Linked DNA regions of Arabidopsis thaliana. The protein of the gene in region 4 interacts with the protein of the main gene of each other region in a pairwise test. Each region holds a gene or a part of one and is shown on either strand. Other genes may lie near its edges. The genes, in order: AT5G11700, AT3G26700, SESA1 and AT5G42220.

The links.
Region 1: the proteins of AT5G42220 (region 4) and AT5G11700 interact in a two-hybrid assay, tested with the Arabidopsis thaliana proteins (one large-scale study listed by BioGRID).
Region 2: the proteins of AT5G42220 (region 4) and AT3G26700 interact in a two-hybrid assay, tested with the Arabidopsis thaliana proteins (one large-scale study listed by BioGRID).
Region 3: the proteins of AT5G42220 (region 4) and SESA1 interact in a two-hybrid assay, tested with the Arabidopsis thaliana proteins (one large-scale study listed by BioGRID).

The regions. Positions count from the first base shown.
Region 1 is NC_003076.8:3,768,416-3,773,202, reverse strand, and holds the start of AT5G11700 (ephrin type-B receptor), read left to right. Parts: upstream 1-1,753; 5' UTR 1,754-2,079; coding exon 2,080-2,921; intron 2,922-3,387; coding exon 3,388-3,503; intron 3,504-3,640; coding exon 3,641-3,849; intron 3,850-4,099; coding exon 4,100-4,219; intron 4,220-4,425; coding exon 4,426-4,557; intron 4,558-4,655; coding exon 4,656-4,781; intron 4,782-4,787. Other genes in the region: AT5G11710 (ENTH/VHS family protein), read right to left, coding at 39-90, 182-222.
Region 2 is NC_003074.8:9,807,919-9,813,202, reverse strand, and holds AT3G26700 (Protein kinase superfamily protein), read right to left. Parts: upstream 3,622-5,284; 5' UTR 2,778-3,621; exon of another isoform or gene 2,614-2,777; 5' UTR 2,535-2,613; coding exon 2,384-2,534; intron 2,267-2,383; coding exon 2,058-2,266; intron 1,970-2,057; coding exon 1,843-1,969; intron 1,743-1,842; coding exon 1,668-1,742; intron 1,588-1,667; coding exon 1,404-1,587; intron 1,318-1,403; coding exon 1,185-1,317; coding exon of another isoform or gene 1,111-1,184; coding exon 847-1,110; 3' UTR 529-846; downstream 1-528.
Region 3 is NC_003075.7:13,605,366-13,608,582, forward strand, and holds SESA1 (seed storage albumin 1), read left to right. Parts: upstream 1-1,963; 5' UTR 1,964-1,997; coding exon 1,998-2,492; 3' UTR 2,493-2,666; downstream 2,667-3,217. Other genes in the region: AT4G27130 (Translation initiation factor SUI1 family protein), read right to left, coding at 124-160. UniProt on the Arabidopsis thaliana protein: This is a 2S seed storage protein.
Region 4 is NC_003076.8:16,870,588-16,878,244, reverse strand, and holds the start of AT5G42220 (Ubiquitin-like superfamily protein), read right to left. Parts: upstream 6,008-7,657; 5' UTR 5,751-6,007; intron 5,289-5,750; 5' UTR 5,284-5,288; coding exon 5,155-5,283; intron 5,061-5,154; coding exon 4,943-5,060; intron 4,639-4,942; coding exon 4,540-4,638; intron 4,448-4,539; coding exon 4,332-4,447; intron 4,238-4,331; coding exon 4,151-4,237; intron 3,976-4,150; coding exon 3,781-3,975; intron 3,694-3,780; coding exon 3,624-3,693; intron 3,552-3,623; coding exon 3,397-3,551; intron 3,266-3,396; coding exon 3,101-3,265; intron 3,024-3,100; coding exon 2,952-3,023; intron 2,881-2,951; coding exon 2,763-2,880; intron 2,686-2,762; coding exon 2,443-2,685; intron 2,370-2,442; coding exon 2,221-2,369; intron 2,138-2,220; coding exon 1,946-2,137; intron 1,825-1,945; coding exon 1,294-1,824; intron 1,070-1,293; coding exon 932-1,069; intron 853-931; coding exon 790-852; 3' UTR 768-789; exon of another isoform or gene 513-767; intron 144-512; and 1 more.

The DNA.
Region 1 (4,787 bases), about 13 Mb from region 4:
ACAATTTGCACATATGGATACGAATCAAATAAATTCACCTTTTGCTCCATCTCAGGGACCTTCAAAACTTTCAGATTCACCTCCCTTTTTCTGTAATTGAAAACGAATCGAGATCAATCGAAAAAATATATAAAACCAAAGATCTACGGATTTGGATCGATAGAGAAAACGGAAAACCCACATCTCTCGAACAGTTTGATCGAAGACCTTCATGAAATCCATTTGGAATCCGCGAAAATGTTATGAACAAAGGAACGAAAACTGGCAAAATTTTGGTGCGAGGAGAAGTGTAGATCTAATCAGAGATGGCTCGTCTTTGTATTATGAGTTTTTTTTTTTTCAATGAAAGGCAACAACAAATAAAAAGTTAGCAGCTAGAACCGATTTTCTCGCGTAATTAGTTTTTAAAGGCGTCAAATGACTGTAAATTCGACCTGACCGTAGCCTGATCCGCAGTCTCCGATAGTCACGGCTATTGGTGGGTTGTTCAATAACCTACATGTATACAACAAAAAAAAATTGAATCCATTTCGTTTCAGTAAATAACACAACGAGTTTTAAGACCTAAGGTAAATTCTTCGAAATATTATCCAAATATAATTTATCCGAACCACTTCACGAAATAATTTAGTTGAATACTTTAAAGCACTTCAACGAAATGGCTCCGAATGGATTATATATATAATTTTTCCAGTAATGAATGTTGTTAGTGAAGATCATATTACTCTCTTCTATACCTTACTTTGTAAACGTTTTAAGTTTAATGCAATAAAATCCTTTTCTGGGGGAAAAAATATAATCCAGTTGAATATTGTTGGTCAGATAAGATTAAGTTTATAACATTATATACCCATTTTTCTATATTAAATATATCTACTACAATTGTCTTATTGAAGAAGTCAGCATGATGAGTCATATACGAGTCAAATTGCATTTGTTTTTAACTCTGGTACCAACCAATAAACCACGTAATATCAGATTATACATCACGTATCCCACTAGTTTAAATTAGTTTTTGCTGACCATGCACAATCTCTTACTTTGAACATAGAGTGTCCCCAATACATGTAGTCTAATCACTAAAATCTAATTTTGGATTTCATATGCTTTGAAGCTATAAAGTTGTTTAGAAATTAGCATACACAACAGTACCTTATCATTTTGGGTGAACCATACATTGACATTAGAAAAAAAATACCATTTTGCATTTAGAACGTGAAAATCGAAGTGATTGAAAGATTGGTGTGATGGATTAAAATGTTGGTGTTGATAATGCTGCTAGTTTTCTATTGGGCCAGCCAGATTTGTTTAATTTTTGTTTTTACTTCGTCCAGGTCACACGCATTCTGTTTCTCAATATCAAACAAAAAACACTCACGCTCAAATCTTGGCGCGTCCATATCAAACTCCTTCACAAACAGGGCCCATCAAAGCCCAATTCTTAACACCTTTCAATGTCCGAACGTAACTCCTGACGTTTTAAAAATTTTAAAAACCAAGTCATTAACCCCTTAATATCCAACAGCAAAGCGAGTAATTAAACGTAGTTAGACACGTGTCCTAATTTAATTCGATGTCAAAATAAATTAGGATACCGCTGCCACATCCAGTTCCATGTGAACCACGATGCACAGTAGTATTTCCTTTTAGAGCAATCTAAAGAATGACGTGGCGTAGTATGATTTGTTAAGATTTACCTGATTACGGTGAACTTGCACGTACCAGATCGTAACTACTCTCCGTTCCAACCTGTGTTTTCTTTTCTTCTTGGAAGCTCCCTTCCCTCTCTTTCTCTCTCCTCCGAGAAAGGAAAAGCACCACTTCTCTCTCTAAGACCCCATTTTTCGGTGAAGGTTTATGCGCTTTTCTTCTTCAACGAGACGACTAAAATACGTATACATGCGTATGTTGATGTATGCATAAGTGTTGTTGTGTGTTGGAGATTTAGAAGAGAAGGTTTGTTTGTGAATTTGTGTCTCTGAGGTTGGTTTTTCCAGTTTATTCTTCTCAATGATCCGAATTGGGGTTGAATCGAAAACCTTAGTAGACTTCGTCTGTGATGACTCTTGATACTAGTGGATGGCTCGATTTCAATTTTGCTGCGTCTTCGTCTTGGTCGCTCTTGCGGTTTTGGCCGTAAACCCTAGTTCAAGCTATCGATTTACCATTGTGGAACCGAAATCGGGTTCTGATTCCGATTTGGACTCAGATTCAGAGTCGTTACTTTTCCATCAGGACTACTCTCCGCCTGCTCCGCCACCGCCACCACCGCATGGACCGTCGGTATCTTGTAGCGAGGATCTCGGCGGCGTTGGGTTTTTGGATACTACTTGTAAGATTGTCGCCGATTTGAACCTTACGCACGATGTGTATATAGCTGGGAAGGGGAATTTTATCATCCTGCCTGGTGTTAGGTTTCACTGCCCGATCCCTGGTTGTTCTATAGCTATCAATGTTTCTGGAAACTTCTCTTTGGGAGCGGAATCTACAATTGTCGCTGGGACATTGGAGCTTACAGCTGGTAATGCTAGCTTTGCTAATGGGTCGGCGGTGAACACGACGGGGTTAGCTGGGAGCCCTCCGCCACAGACCAGTGGGACACCGCAGGGGATTGATGGTGCTGGTGGTGGACATGGTGGTAGAGGCGCTTGTTGTTTGACTGACACTAAGAAGCTACCTGAAGATGTGTGGGGAGGTGATGCATACTCTTGGTCGACTCTGCAGAAGCCGTGGAGCTATGGTAGTAAAGGAGGGTCAACTAGTAGAGAGATTGATTATGGAGGAGGAGGAGGTGGGAAAGTGAAGATGGATATTCTGCAGCTTCTGGATGTTAACGGAAGCCTTTTGGCAAACGGAGGCTATGGAGGAGCCAAAGGCGGTGGTGGATCTGGTGGCAGCATCTACATCAAGGCATACAAGATGTAATCAACTTTCGTTTCTATGCTCTCTTTCACTAGCTGTTAATTAGATTAAATGCATATATTTTAAATTACTTATAGTCAGCAGGGAATGCAAAATTTACAGTACTTGCTTGGTCCTGATATTTTCTTAAGATCATAATCTTACCTTAGGACAAGTTGAGTTTCTAGAAATGATACAAAATTGCACTTTCGTTTCATAATAATATTCTAGAAATGTGAGTTTCTGTTCTCAATTGGAAGTATGTGATTAAGCATGAATCTTATTTATGACAATATATATTTCGAAAGAATTTAGATCTTGCTCATATCTCTCCAAAATGTGTTGTCTGCTGTTGTATGATACACATGAAACAACTCATTTTCTTTGCTTATTTTAAAAGGTTGGTAGTGAGCCTTTTGTCTTCTTAGATTCTTGGTAAATTGATTTTAGCTAGCATCCTCTGCTTTGCTGTTATTTGAAGTGCAGGACTGGAATTGGAAAGATCAGTGCATGTGGTGGGAGTGGTTATGGTGGTGGGGGTGGTGGAAGAGTATCTGTCGATATTTTTAGTAGGCATGATGACCCGAAGATTTTTGTGCATGGTTCGATTCTCTTTACTTGGTTATTTTGTTTACATTTGCTCATTTGATTCACGGTTTTTGTTTTGAGCCAGTATAACCAATACGTGCTTGCCTAACATTAACAATCATGTAAACTGATCTTATCTTCCTAAACACAGGCGGATACAGTATCGGATGTCCAGATAACTCGGGTGCTGCTGGAACTCTATATGATGCTGTTCCCCGAAGCCTTTTCGTTAGCAACTACAATCAGACAACAGACACGTATACGCTTCTCTTAGAATTTCCATTCCAGCCACTTTGGACCAATGTTTATATTCAGGATAAAGCACGCGCAACTTGTCCTCTGTTATGGAGTCGTGTCCAGGTATTTAGAAAATAAATATCCAGTACATGGGCTTTGTAGGCTTACTGATCTTTCTCCTTGCAGTGTTTATGTTAGCACTATTTGTGATCGTATTTACAAAGATTACTATCTTTTATTTTGTATATCTAGTGTCTGTTGTGTCGCCTCTATATATGTTTTCTTAAAAGGTATTTAGTGGAACTCTTGTTTTTCAGCATATTATCTTGCAAAATTGATGAATTGGAGTACTCAAACAGAACTCAATATGTAGGTTCAAGGACAAATTAGTTTGTTGTGCGGTGGTGTTTTGAGCTTCGGATTAGCTCATTATGGTACATCAGTATTTGAGTTGTTGGCAGAAGAACTCTTAATGAGTGATTCTACCATCAAGGTGAGTATTATCCTGATTCTCTACCTTTTTAGAAAATGGGGATGCAACAGCATTGTGTCTGTCTACGTCAGATATGAATATTTCTTTCTGTTGCTAAGATCTGCTTCACTCTTGGCTTACCTGGCCGTTCTTCACACTCCATGTACTGTTTTGGTATTCATGTTAATCACTTGTTCATCATGTTTATGTTTATTGGTATGCATCAGGTTTACGGGGCATTACGCATGACTGTCAAGATGTTCTTGATGTGGAACTCAGAATTGCATTTAGATGGAGGAGGAGGAGATACAACTGTTTCAACTTCCATGCTTGAGGCTAGCAATTTATTCGTTCTTAGGGTACTCACAAACTCATGTCATAGTTTTTCTCCTTAAAAGTAATTTGTGACATAGCGTCGCATCTAATTTTTGTGTGTGACCTCTCTATCCAAATATAGGGATCATCTGTCATTCGGTCAAATGCAAATCTTGGAGTCCATGGACAAGGTTTCTTGAATCTAACTGGACCAGGGGATTCAATTGAAGCACAACGGCTTGTTTTGTCACTGTTTTACCGGATTTATGTAAGG
Region 2 (5,284 bases), on a different chromosome or scaffold from region 4:
CAATCTCTCCCGACATAAAATCAGACCAAACATGATTTTGATTTTGCAATCTGTTCCAAAGACTGTTTGTTTATAGTTCTGTGTGCCCACAAAGGTTTTTTAGCAAAACTAGGGACAGAGTAATAAATCAGAGCATTGAGTTTATTTTCACTAGTAGCAAATGGAGTATGTAGGAACTATACTAGTCCAAGACCAAGAGTGTTGTTATCCAATTGGAATCTTTGATCAAGACTTTAGAGACCAACTTGGTTACTATATCTCCCCTTTGGCAATAAAGGCTATCAAAGCATAGGTAGGTTGAAGCTAAAGGTCAAAATCTTTCCCAAAATTGGCTACTTTATAGGAAAAAGTAGCTCTGAGTTTTTCTGTACAAACATAATAATTAGAGTTCTTCAGACAGGGAGTTATCACCTTCTGTTAGTTCAACAGTTAGCCAATTGGAATCTTTTCATCAAAACTTATTCAACCAACCAACTTGGCAATAAAGTCTTTCAAGCTAAGTTCAAAGCTTTTGTAGAGAGTAAAATGTAACAAAGAATCACACAACATTCCACTCTTTGCTTCCTTTATATCAATAAATAATGTTTTTACAAAGTTATACTTTTCTGCACTCATTGTCAAAAAAATAATTGCTGAAAATAATAACCTCCAAAGGAAGTGAAAAAGGAGGGAAAAAACAAACAAACAATAAGCTTCAGCTGTTCTTTATACACTTAACACAAAACAGCTGATCAGTCTTCTTCTTCTTCCTCCTTAAGTTCTCTGATTGGTTCTTGTCTCAGAGAACTTATATAATATATATATATATATGTATATATATGTAAAAAGATGGTTCCTTTATAATAATCACTTGGTTGCTTTAAAAAGCTGACTTCCAAGAGTAACAGTTGGAGTACCTTCACCCATTACTGTTGTTAAGCTCACTTCTTTATCCAATATTCTTTCAAGCTCTGTCACAACAAAACTCATTGTTGGTCTCTTCTCACTTGATACATCAACACATCTTAGTGTCAATGTAATAAGTTCCTCAACTCCTTCTGCTGTGTATGTACCTCCTAGTCTCTCATCAATCATCATTGGTATATCTGCGTAATCCGTTAAGTTTTGCATCTGCAACTCCCAATGCATACAAAATGAGAATCAAAATAGATTACATTGGCACGGTTTTGAGTGTGATTACATACCCAATCGACTAGAGTTTGCGTTGAGCTTGAAGGGGATGGTTCTGATGCTTCTCTTCCACTTACTAATTCCAAGAGGAATACACCAAAAGCATAGACATCACTTTTCTCTGAAAATCTTTTGAACTCTTGAACCCTGAAAAAAAAAGGGGACAATCTGAGAAACTTTGATACTAAAAAGAAGCATATGAGAGCTTAGAAGGTGAAATCTTTTTAATTTACTCTGGGGAGAGGAAAATCTGGTCTGCAACAATGTGAGACGATGTACCAACATCCTCTCTTCCTAAGAAGTTACGGACTCCTGCATCCGCAACCTTAGCAATGAAATTTTCATCCACAAGAACATTAGCGGTTTTGAAGTCCTTGTGTATCAACCGAGGACTCAACGAGTGAAGATGTGCCAAGCCTAGAGATAACAAAAGGGTATATGCAAGATCAGGACACAAGCTAGAGCTGGCTTCAATGAGGATTTTGTAGAGGATTTACCTTTAGCTGCTCCTATAGATATTGCAAGCCTATGTCTGAACTCTAGTCTATTACCAGGTACTTTACCACCAGCACCTAACAGAGGAAAAGACCTAAACGATGCTTACATCGTCCAAACTCATTTCTCAAACTGATTAAATACCAAATGAAAATAACATTAAGGACAGAGAGTTACCGTACAGGTGACTGGAAACACTTCCATTAGGAACATACTCGTAGACAAGAAACTGTGTGTTGCTTTCTTGGCAAAACCCCAAAAGAGTGACGAGATTACGGTGATGGATAGACGATAGATAACGAACCTGAAGAAATAAACCATATCCTCTCAATCAATACACTTGGTCTAAGAAGACTAAAAGCAAACACTTGAACAAGATTAATTATAGAAACCTCGTTAACAAATTCTTGAGTAGGCAAACCAGGTCTTTTCTTGATAGCTACAAGAACACCATCTTGAAGCAAACCTTTGTAAACCTCGCCGAATTTGCCAATACCAATAAGACTTTTATTGGTAAAACTCTTGGTGGCTTGAGCAAGTTCCTCCATTTCAAATCTTCTAGCTTCTCTCATTGACAACTCAATTGCAACATTTCTTCCTTCTGAACTCACACAAACATATAACAAAAGAAAAAAAAGTCTAAATCATTTTGATATCATCCAAGAAAGTCAATAGAGAGAGAGAGAGAGGAATAGAATTGATGGGATTTGTGATTTACCTTGAGTAGATGGATCAGAAGAGCCAGTCTCAGAAGTTCTAGACAGATTCTTACGACGAAAGACACAAAACCAAAGGAGAAAAACAAACAAAGCAATCAATGCAAGAGCTCCTACAGCACCACCAATGGCAGCTGCAAGAATTGCTGACATTTGGAAAACAAAACTGCCTTCTCTCTCTCTTTCTCTTTTCCTCACCGATGCTCCAAGCTTCTACTACCATGCGATAACCCTGGAGAGAAAGAATAAAACAAGAATGTCGGCGAAAAGAAAAAAAAAAAAACAGAAGAGACAGTTTTAAAAGCAAACAGAGGAGCTTGAGAGGTAAAAAAAGAAAAGGTGTCAACTTTGTAAAAATCAATCAATCAACATGCAGTAAGTATTTTTTAAAAGAACCTTGACAGATCTCCAGAAAATCTCAACTTCATCGGCGATTAAATATCACACAAATTCAACAAAATCGATGACGTGATTCCCCACATTCTTTTTTTTCTCCACATTCAATGAAAAAAATTCCTTATATCGGCAGATTCAAGGAATCAAATTATTTTTCTAATCAGAAACAAGAAAGCTTGGTGTGAAAACGGAACAGAGAGCAATGGAAACATCAAATCAAACCGCCGCAGTTTCTTCTAGAACAACTTGAAGGTAAAAGGGTAAGAAGAAGAACAAGAAGAAGAAATCAAGTCTTGTGTCGGAACGCAGACAATGCCGACAGAAAGTGACATCGTTTCAGACAACAACTCTCTCTCTCTCTCTCTTTCTTAAGACTCACCGAAAATTTTTTACTTACTTAACTAAGAATCAACAACGGCAACAACAACAACAAGAATCAAACTTTTTACTTTGGTTAGTTTTTACTCTTGTGCAACTACCAAACCCATTTGTTTAATTTGGTGAAAAAAAAGGAAGGAATAAAAAAAGAGAACCTTTGAAGACAAGAGTAGAAGCAAGTGGGGTACTTGGCCAGTTTGCAATTACAGCGAATGGGAACTTTTTTTTTTTTTTTAAGAGAGAAGATTCAGAAGGAAGAAACTTAAGACCGCCGCCGTGAAACGTAGTTTCCGCCGCCGCAAGTTTTGAAAGGAGACGAACAAGACCACCACTCTGTCTCTGCCTTCTTCTCTTTTCTTTTTATTTTACTCCGCAATTCTCTCTGTTTATTTTTTCTTTTTTCTTTTTTCGTATGTGTCCTTAAAATGGTTTATTTTTATTACTTTAATAAATGTGTACTTCAATATTAGACTACCAAAAACAAAACAAATAAGATTGTCAATAAAAATTTATTTTTCTCATAAATTAATAAGCAACCAATGATAGATGGGATTCATAACTACAGAAATTTATAATTCTTTAGACTTCATATTTTTGTTTAGTCAATCAATCACATAATTATATTGGAATCACAGCTTTTTCTGCACTATCCTATTATTCTTATGTTTATTACAAAAATATAAAAGGATTATGTCATGTCATAGATTTACATTTAGTTTAAAACCTTTATTTCTAATATTTGAAATATTGGCATAATATTCAGTTTAGGAAGAAGAAGAGCTTAAACTTGTTATAACTCTTATCAGTTGATTTGTTAATTCTAAGCTTAATCTAAACATTAAGAGTCAATTTATTAATGGGAAAAATGTCAATTAATCCCCCAACTTTCAAACAATGATTATTTTATACATCAACTTCGTATGCGGCCGTTTAAAACATGAACTAAACGTTGACTAACTTTTAAAACATGATTATTCGTTGACCAGGCCAAAATAGACATGCCGTTATCAGTCATTAACGGAACTTCTAACATCCGTTATCATCCGTTAACGACTTTATTAGTCAAGTTTTAAATTGTGGCCATTTTAAACACCGACTTTATATGTGACTATTTTAAATATGAACTAAGCGTTGACTACCATTTAAAACATGAGAAATTCGTTGACCAAGCCAAAATAAACATGTTGTCATCATTCATTAAAAGAACTTATAAAATTCATTATCACTTGTTAACGACTTTATTAGTATCCCTAAAACGACTTTGTTTTGAGAATAATCAAAAGATTCTAAATGAAACCCCAGTTCCCCAAATCTATTTCTACAACCGCTCAAACAAGACGAATAATCTTATAATGAGTCTTCAATTTGCTTCCATGATTCCCTTTAAAATTTAAAACAAATATATAAACGAAAACACCTTTATTTGCTTCCAATTACTGGCACTGCGATTATCTCTTTATCAAACTATGTTCTTGGGTTCTGCTTAAAACTTTTGATATGGAGATTTTATATGGAAAAAATCTTTGTGTTCTTTCGATTATTCTCAAACGACGTTGTTTTGGACAGATTAACAGTCATTATTTCTAGGTTCTACTGATAAAGACATATCTATTTTGGCCTGGTTAACGAATTTTTCATGTCTTAAATGGTAGTCAACGTTTAGTTCATGTTTTAAATGGCCAAATAAGAAGTTGATGTTTAAAATGACCACAATTTGAAACTTGACTAATAAAGTTAACGGATGATAACAGACGTTAAAAGTTCCGTTAATGACTGATAACGGCATGTCTATTCTGGCCTGGTCAACGAAAGATCATGTTTTAAAAATTAGTCAACGTTTAGTTCATGTTTTAAACGGGCACATACGAAGTTGATGTATAAAATAACCATTTTTTTAAAGTTGGGGAATTAAATGACATTTTTCCCATTTATTAATCATATATTTGTAATTTAGTAAAATCTAAGTTTAGTAAAAGAATTTTTATTTTATAATTCACCATTTTAATACAAAATTATAATTAACAATGTTATAAATCAAAATAGAATATTTAATTATGTTTCATACTAGTGTTTCTGATTCTTATAGGTAGATGTCACATGACTTACATCTTAGACTGCTACTAAATTTT
Region 3 (3,217 bases), on a different chromosome or scaffold from region 4:
CAAACCACAAGCTGAAGAATCCAAGACTTGAGAAACAAATTTACAAAAGCCCATGTTCCAATCAAAACTGTTACCAAACATCTGAAATAGATCTAAATGAGCGTTGGTATAATTGAAACTTACCGAAGGCAGTAGGGACCTGGGAATCAAGTTCAGACATGAAACTTTGTTGATCTGAGGGGCAAACGATAGAGAAGCTGAGACCTGAACATGAAGGCCATCGGAGGATAAGAATTTGGCACACTCATAAACAAATAATAAACAAGTGCTACACCACAATCGAGAAAAGCAAAATAAGTATTAATAAGGTCTTAGAAAACAGTTAAAGAACACAGGGAACGCATAATACACATAGCAAGATAAAACACACAATCCAAATACAAGCCATGTTCATCTAGAGATTAGTGATATATAAACCAGATGGGGAAACTAAAACCTCAGCTAAGAAACCAACTCCAGAATTATCATTTGCAACATAAGATTCGAAATGAGCAAGATGCCATCTTCATAAATAAATTGTATGTTCTGTATCCTAGTCCCAGGAACCTAGTTAAGCAGGTCCAGCTCAATTACAGGATATGATCTAAACAAATTACATCAATCCACAGCAGATCAAAGGAAGATCCAATTTTCTAAAGTCAGCAGCAAATTCGACAGATCCTAAACAAAAGCTAGCGTACAATCTTCAGGGACATACGAAAGACGATATACCAATCTGACGAACGAAAACAAATCAACAAACTCCAAAATTATATGGATCGGGCAATGAAAACAAACTTCACCTCGAAATTACCGAAATCAAAGAAATAGCAAAACGCAATTTGTGAAATCTGCTTAAGAAGATGACAAACGCAATCAGAAGAAGATAAGATTTTACCTGATCCGAAAAGTAGAGTTTCGTGGATCTGATAATTGGAGAAGAGAGAACGAGCTGAAACCCTAAATTCGGATAAAGTCTGCAACTTCTGTTGTTTCGGTGGCGAGAACAAAAATAATGAGAGGAAGAGGAAAATATCGTCGTTTTTGTCTCACAGTCTCTTTAGCAGCTTTTCTTTAGATATTTATTTTATTTTTTCCATGGATAGAGAGAGCTAGGCATTCCGGTTATTTGGAGATTTTGGAATTTCAATTTTGCGGTTTGGTATTTTATTTTATTTTATCAATTTGAACGAAACAGAGCTTTGTTTTGGTTACGATGCGGTGGATTTTGGTTCGGTTTAGAGTGATATATATTTGGTACCAAATTAAACCAAGATTCGTTTTCGGTAAAAACAAAATTTGATTTTTAAGCATTTTTGGAAAAATTAGTGTTATATATATGAGATTTCTTAATCAAAATCTCACTTTTATCCGATTTAGTGGTAGTTCATAAAGTGGTTTCATGTATATGATACCTGAATAACCAACATATGTATTTTAAGAGACACTTGGAATAATAATTCTAAATATCCTAACTACTCGTGTCCGTATGTTTTGTCACGGTGAAACGTGAGAGGACTAGTTTTTGTCACCCGTCCATAACATTCTTAGACATACATTACTTTGGGAGTGAAAAACATTAAGCTTATCTTTATCCATATATTGTCTTACCATCAATAGACAATATCCAATGGACCGGTGACCTGCGTGTATAAGTAATTTTTCAAGATGCTAAAACTTTTATGTATTTCAGAATTAACCTCCAAAAACATTTATTGACACACTACTACTCTTTCCGTATTGACTCTCAACTAGTCATTTCAAAATAATTGACATGTCAGAACATGAGTTACACATGGTTGCATATTGCAAGTAGACGCGGAAACTTGTCACTTCCTTTACATTTGAGTTTCCAACACCTAATCACGACAACAATCATATAGCTCTCGCATACAAACAAACATATGCATGTATTCTTACACGTGAACTCCATGCAAGTCTCTTTTCTCACCTATAAATACCAACCACACCTTCACCACATTCTTCACTCGAACCAAAACATACACACATAGCAAAAAATGGCAAACAAGTTGTTCCTCGTCTGCGCAGCTCTCGCTCTCTGCTTCCTCCTCACCAACGCTTCCATCTACCGCACCGTCGTTGAGTTCGAAGAAGATGACGCCACTAACCCCATAGGCCCAAAAATGAGGAAATGCCGCAAGGAGTTTCAGAAAGAACAACACCTAAGAGCTTGCCAGCAATTGATGCTCCAGCAAGCAAGGCAAGGCCGTAGCGATGAGTTTGATTTCGAAGACGACATGGAGAACCCACAGGGACAACAGCAGGAACAACAGCTATTCCAGCAGTGCTGCAACGAGCTTCGCCAGGAAGAGCCAGATTGTGTTTGCCCCACCTTGAAACAAGCTGCCAAGGCCGTTAGACTCCAGGGACAGCACCAACCAATGCAAGTCAGGAAAATTTACCAGACAGCCAAGCACTTGCCCAACGTTTGCGACATCCCGCAAGTTGATGTTTGTCCCTTCAACATCCCTTCATTCCCTTCTTTCTACTAAATCTCAAACAAACCCTCAAAGCGTATGAGAGTGTGGTTGTTGATATATACATGTTGACACTTGACACATACCACACCTCATCGTGTGTTTTATGATAAATGTAAGCTTTTGGATGTTTGAGGGTAATGTAAGCACTACTTAATAAATAAGAGTTTTGTTTATATTTTTTTTGTTTGTTACATTGCTGCTCTCTAAAAAGTCATGACGCTTACATAAAAATAACTTTACTCCAGTGAACTGGAAAAATTATAGAGTACCGCTCCACCTCCACGGAAAGATCATAGACTAGTACTACCCAGAGATATAAATCGTAATTAAGACTTCAAATGCGTAGAGACAAATGGAATTATGACTTGGCAATTTGATCTTTCTTGATATTTTTAACAAATGGTTTACGTATGTCTTTATCAAACAAAAAAAAGTAATAAATGTGTTTAATTATTGAGTTGTGGCTAATAGCACAATTTTAAAAAACTGATGTCCAATTTTTTCTTTTAAAAAAAGCTATAACGAAGCATGTAAAAATGAACACTTAAAAAATAAAAGTTTCATTTACGAATCATGTACAATTGTGGATTTGAGATTAAGAATCCATCTGAGAATAGTATACCATTTGTGATTTGTTTATGAATGGTATGACACCATAAACGACTATACTACAGTTTGAGATTCACTGATCACTCATAGATTTTTGAATAATTCATTTGAAAATGATTTGAGATTTT
Region 4 (7,657 bases):
ACAGCTTGTCTTAGGAATGTTCATGATCTCCGATGTCGCTAAGTCATGGCTCGCTGATCTTGAAAATCTCTGAACCCATGATGTTTTAGTTCAATTTTGTCGTCATCCTTAATTTTTCCGGTGGTGATCAATTGTTCACAACCCTTGAATACGTAAAACCATAAAACAAATTTTAATAATCTTTTAGAAATTAAATATAAAATAAAACAATATTATTAATTTGTCATAATCCAAAATTATAAATTTGTACAACAAAACAAACACAACAACTTTGTAATTTTAAACATATTAAAAATTCATAGTAAATTTTATAATATATAATTTTTTATAAAAATTAAATAATATATAACATCTTATTATTGGGGTTGTCGTGACAGTTCATTTTTCTGAATTATTCTACTATTTATTAGTTTACATTCCATATTTATTGTGCAATCTTTATTACCTATTTGTTAAGGAATTAAACTAAATATATAATTTGCTACAGTCACTCGTTAGTGTAGCCCTTTAGCCAAATTTTCGATCAAAACCAAAATTGTCAGTTATAAAGGGACACCTTTTTCCCAAGTAATTTGGTCAATGTCGAGAGTTATGAGTAATCTCTGGTTAAAGATGGAAATATCAAATTGAATCGGCCCTTTAGAGACCAGATAAATTACGTTTGCTTATGTTTAGCAGAGTATAGACCATCCCAAACCCTAATTCTTAATACATAAGTGAGGGATCTCAGCAAATAAACAAAGATACTTCAAAGATATGACACTTACAGAACCAATTCAACCAAATATCTTATAGACCTTGATCATCTTTTAGCCGGCCTTCGATATCACGTCTTAGCAACTCCGCATATTCCTGCAACACTCAAATACAAGTCTGATCAAGGAGTCTTTATTTTTATTAAACAAACAAACTAGTCAGTTTTGATGCTTACTTGAGAAAGAGCTTCATCACAGCAAAGCTCGTTCACTAGTTCGTCTTGGCTTATCGCAGCATTTTCGACCATTGCACGGAAGACATCCTCTGGTGGATCAGAGTGCTCAATCATTTGAGCCATGGATTGAACATTTACCTATTTGGAAAAAGTAGAAAAATAACATTCATTACACGAGATAGAACAAGAGACAATGACGTTTATTGTAATACCTAGGTAAGAATGGTGTTACTTTTTCTACAACTAAAAAAAGACAACAACAAAATCCTACTCAGTCGATAATAGTATCAGTTTTTCTTCAGCCACATTTTTTTCCTAAATCAAAAACGCAAGAAATCCAAACCTAACACTCGTAGATGTACCTGAGAAGGTTGACGATCATCAGGCTGTATTGTTGCGGGATGAGGCAATGGCCCTCCTTGGCTAAAAGCACGTGAGACTAGAGGCATCATTTGTTGGACCATTCTAGAGAAATCAAAGCCGCCGCCCTCGCCTTGAGCTCCACCTGACATCATATTTTCTATCTCTTGCCCATCCACCTGTTGCGCAATCTGTTGGACTGTGTTCATGATCTGTGGATTCTGGGTAAACTGCTGGAGCATATTTCTCAGCATATTTGGTGAATCAACACCAGCTTGTCGAGATACCCCTGCTAGCAATCCATCCAATACAGGGCTCTCCAGGACCTGAGACATTGCACTTGAGACATCTACACGATCATCTGAACCTTGCCCGCGTCTAAGACCAGTCTCATCTGAACGAGAACTACCAGAAAAGAGAGATTGCAAAAGCTGCTGACCACTGGTCCCACTGCTTTGTTGCACACCTTCAAGTGTAGCTGAAGTCCCGCTATCTTCAGTCTTACCTGATACCTTCGGCTGCTTGCTTCGTTTCTTTAACCAAAAAAAACATACTATGACTGTAAGCATTTGGAACTATGACACTTGTGGATATGCTATGCAATGAAAAACAAGCAGCAGCAACTTGACGCTTATTTTTCAACTGATTCATTACCTTACGGTCTAAACCGCCAAGCCCCAATCCAAGTGGTGTAGCTGTAGCTACCTCTGGAGTAGCCTTATTGGTTTCTTTGGCATCACCGGTAGCATCTCCAGACGGAGCTGATGATTGTCCTGTAGTACAAGAGGTATCTTTTGCTCGGGCTGGATGCTCTAAATCTCCACCAAGATCTTTTTCATTTTGACACTGGTTGAAAAAACAAAAATTAGTGGTAGGCTAACCCTGGTGAACATAAAATAAAGAATCATCTGATTGCAGAGAAGACATACCACTGAGTTGCTCCTCTCAGATGGTAAGTCATGCAGTGAGCCACTAGACGACTCAGGTGCGCAAGTAGTTGCAATGTTGGTAGGCTGCTCAGGCATAGCAGTGGCAACACCATGGCCCGTAGACATATCCCTCTCGAGAGATTCTATTCCTGATTGACACGTGAAGAAGAGCTTGAAAACATTTCGTCCACAATGTAAAACTTTAGTCAGCAGGAAACCTACCCGATGGAATCTGGTCTCTTCCTTGCATAATGTTTACCATATCTCTTATCCTTGCATTGATTTGAGCAACTGAAACATCATCACCCAAACCAGGTTGAACCCCAGCAGAAACGTTCTCACCGGTAGAGTGTGATGGAACAGCCGCAGGAACTGAACTTGTATTGCTGTCACGGTCTCCTTGTCCTCCTTCTCCATTGCTTCGCTGGTTCCCAACTGATGACAACATAGGTGAACCTGATGTGCCTGGTAATTAAGTATGAATTTTAATGGAGAAGAATTGTGCAGCTAAGTCCAATAGCAAAAAAGTGAACTTCACCCACCAGCATGTATGTGAATATTAATGTGCCTTTGGGCAGTTCCTAAACCAACAGGTCCGGTTAGTGGATTTGATGAGACAGTAGCACCAGTAAAGAGAGGGCTGATTTGGTGAGGAAAAGGCTGCAAAATACAGTAATAATTACATAAAAGTAGAAAATTAATTTAGAAAAAAGATGAGACTAGAAGCTTACCTGAACCATAATAGGATTCGGTCCTGATGGAGATATATACACAGCAGGCCCTGCATTCACATAGGATAATTCCTGTAGATCAAAGTGTTAATGAGCCGCATGTCAAGAATGAATAGGAAAATGCACGAAAGGAATGACCCAAAACGCACCGGCGACGGTGCCATTCTCAATGTCAAAATTGTGCGTCCAAGCTCCAGTAGGAGGGCCCCTAAATGTTGCATGGCAAGACCTACTTGCACGGCCTCTGTCTGGATTTGTGACCTTAGAGTAGGATCTGAAGATGAACCATCTTGCTCCAGACGTCCCGCAATATGCTACAACAATGTTTTTGCAAATTACAAACAGCACATAATTAGATGACAATGCATGGTAACCATATACATAACAGTTCTTGTAAAGAGAAAGAATGGAATCAATTAATAAGCAGTGTGAAGAAGGTGTTTACCGATAAAGAAGAGACACCGAGACCACTCAGTAAATGTTGTGCATTCCTTAGGACAACAGAGAGTGCTTCAGGTGTTGCTGCACCTCGTCTATTTCTAGGCAACTCTTCCCTTGGTCGCCCTCCGGATCCAGCAGAAGAGGTATCTGGCTGATAGCCTGGAGGAACATCCAATTAACTTATTTATGTGTTCTCTATCCAATATGACAATAAAACTTAGATCACAATACCATTTTGTGATAATGCCTGCTCCATCCGATTAATGAACTCCATTAGAGTGTCTAAGGAATCCGGAATAGGCTGCAGAATTAGAGAGTTACATTGTAAAATGACAAGATTAAAGCTCTAGTCTCAAGATCAAAATACTACTACGTGACTAAGAACTACCGTTAAGAATGAAGGGATAGGAATCGTTGTGGCTGCTGTAACAGGAATCTGAACTACACGAGGCATCGATGTTTGAAATGATACACCAGGAAATGCTTGCCTAGGTTGTGAATGACCCGTAGCTTGGCTTTGACCACCAATGCCAGGCTCTCCATCAGATGTATTTCCAGGAGGTGCATTAGACGACTGATTCGACTAGGAAAAATAAAAGCGCATGCAACATCGAGTTTAGAAACAGGCAATAGTTGATGACAATATGAAACCTTACACATCAAATAGTAACAACACCTGATTCTCAACAATCCTTAATGTAGACTAAGCACTAATATGGAATAAATTCGAAATAGAGAGTGACGAGAAAAAAACTCACGGGCATAGAGGATTGCGTGCCATTAGTACTGTGATTTGTAGGAAGCTGTCCACTAACTCCAAAAGAATTTAGAACTGCTCCAATGACCTTAGTAGTTAGCAACACAAAATTAAAAGCAGGTTAGCCTAACTAATCAAACCATCCCATAGGCCAAACAATATCACAAATCCTTGGGGATTACCCGGCTGAGGTCTGGAACAATGCCTTCTGTCTGATCTCCAACATTAAAAGACCCAAGAACTACGCTGTGGGAGACATGTCTTCCATTTCGAGATGGTCCACCATTTGTATTATTTCCTGTTGAATTAAATAACAAGTTGAAATAAGATGATGGTTGTGTTAACAGCTCTTTTAAAACTCAGAAAGGGGATAAAAAATAACTTGATTACCATCATTTGCAGTTGCCCCTTGTGAAGGTGTACCAGAGGAAGGAGCTGATTCTGCTGGCTGCCTCACAATCAAGTGTAAAGTATGCCCATTTTCCAAATCTATGACGATGTCAAGTTATCAACTATACTGAAAGTAGAAAAGCGATGGAAGGAAACGACAGACATAAACTAAAACTAAGCTTATCGAAGGTATATATATATATATAGTTCTCTTTCTGGATTACAGCTTCCTCTACGGTGTAAGACTCACAAAAGCAGAGATGCACTTGATCAATCAAAAACTAGACTTCCGACAGATTTGGTTAACATGCATTTTATACACAGGGCACATGGCATAATGCAACAAACAGCTACACTATAACATAAAATCAACAAGTTAACAAAGTCGCTAGCACTAGGATACGATACTCCGAGAGAGGATGATCATCTTTCAAAACCCGTCCTCGGAAAATGAGCCGCTGCTGACCAACCGGCACCCCTGTCTCACTAGCAATCTTCTCCTTGAATAGCAAAACAGTTTCCTGCAACAAGTCAAGCCCTAAGCAGTATCAGATATAAGCAAACTAAACTTAAGCAAATATGCAGGTGAAGCAGAAGAAGAAGAAGATTTCTTACATTCTTGTTCACTTGGAAAGTATACGTCCGCGAGTCTAACGTTTTGATGTTAAGCTCAAGGGTTGATTCTGGAGTTTTCTCCGACGCATTGGTGCTACTAGAGCACTGGTTAATGGGTTGATCTTCCATGAACCCTAAAGTATTAAAATTTAAAAAACATAAAGCTTGTAAATTCATCTTACAAAAGAATGATCTCATAATAAACAATATTATCTCTAGGGTACTCAAATCAAAACCTTTACCACACACATTTCCAGATATTGATCATACAAAACAGAATCAACAATGAGACACAAACAAATGACATAACTAAATGCTAGTCATTGTAACAAAAGACCAAATCCTATATATATGCAAGTCATTGTAATAAAAATGCTAAAAATCAAAAACTTTCACCATCCAAAGCCACAAACAAAAGACCCAGACCCAAATAAATGCAAGTCATTGTAATATCACTGTTCAAAAATCAAAACTTTCACCGTCCAAACCCAAAAACAAATCTGCTAAGGCAAAAACAGAGCCTATAGATACGGAAAAAAAGGATCAAGATTTAAGAAAAAAACAATCAAATTCCATGAAGGCAACGAAGAACGAACCTATTTGCCGTCGTGGGGTATTGAAAAATTGAAACTTTGGCGGAACAAAAGACTCTCCGATTGAAATCTAGAGAAGTATCTCAAAGTTGAAACACGAAACCAAACCTGATGTGTTCAGAGTTAAAGGGGAAGAACAAGGGCGATTGTGTCGGGAACTCGGGATTTTGGTGAAATTGAAAAGAAAAAGAAGAATCTAGAGGAGGAAGATACAACGACGACGTTTTGAAAACCTGAATTGACGCTTCCGCGAATATAGGCCTAGTCTCCGCTCTAAATGTGGACTCTTCTATTAATAATATAAAGCTGGGCCTGGCCTTTTTAACCATATCTAAAATAAATTTTAAACATGTGCTTCTTTTTCTGTTTTATTATGTAATTTTGATTTCTAATATTTAAGTATTTAAGTTTACACATAACTGGATTAATCATGAAGATTATGGTTTACATATAACTGAAACGAATCTATGTTATTGTTGTCGTTAATAATGGTTATTATTTTATTATTTTTTGTCATCAAATTATATTAATGTTCAAATGAGTCAACTTTAGAAAAAATTGTTTACATATATGAAGCGATTCAGTACGAATTTTTCGTGCCAAAGTATTCGTTCTAACATTTGCAGTATAAGAGATTAGAGATAGAAACAAGCTTGAGATTTTTTTATTGTCACTCAGGCAAATCTTTCAAAATTGTAGAATACACCGGCCATTAGGTTAGGGAAAACACTATATTCATTAGGTTTGAACAGTCTGTGAAAAACACTACATGTTGGTTATGTGTCGAAAGATCATTTAAAGTTTAGTCTGACAATTTTGCGGCAGTGTATATGCAAACAACAACAAAAGTAGAACAATCAAAGCATATAGACATAGAGTGTCATATTGTGTGAGAAAGGATTCAAGATGATGTGGTTTCAGTTAAGCATATAGGTAGAAATTTCATGAAAGCGGATCCGTTAACTAAAGGTATTCCACCTAAAGTTTAGTCCACATTATTAGTTAAAATACAAAAACAACTAGATTTTAACCTGTGGTATACCGCGGGAACAATTTATTTTTTAAAGTTAGTATATATAAAAGTTTACAAATTGTATCTATCTATAAAATAATTTTATTTTATAGTTTACAAATGTTATTAAGTATCGTCCTGTCAAACCCGTCCTGTAAAAAAAAAACTATTTATTTTATTAATGTTGATCTTATTTATGATATGTTTATGAATCATTGTCTAAATATTTTGTAATTTTGTAGTAATTAAATGCTATCAGATTATATCTCTGCGCTTTGATGATTATAATCGAATTGTTATAGTTATGGAGAAAATCAATATCAAAAATGATAATTTTGTAGTAATTAAATGATATTAAATATTTTGGAAGTATTATTTTAGTAAATAATCGTGTAGTTAATGTGGAGATATTTTGGGAAGATTGTTAAATGTCAAATATTTAATTCGAATATTTTCTTTTTAATTATCAAAAACAAACATTAAAATCCAGTGGCAGCCATTGTAAATAAGTCACAACTAAAGGATTTATTTCACAAAATGGCTGCAAAAATGTATATATAGATTATAATAAAACATGTTTCAATTATGTCTATATATACAAAAATAATTATGATGTATATAAATAAATTTAATGATACAAATATTGGAGCTATTTTGTTGCTTTAGACAACTAAACTAACTTTGAACTCAAAAAAAGAAAGAAGATATCTAAATTAACTGAAACGGCCATTAAATATGGTGTTTCCCCTAGGAGTTATTGACTAACCTATACAAGCTATTGGTGTCTTGCTGACTTTAGATATCATAAACCCGTACACAATATGGGTTAAAAAAAAACATCAAGGATTCGACCAATGCAATTAAAACCTGTATATTATCTTTCACTACGAAATCCATA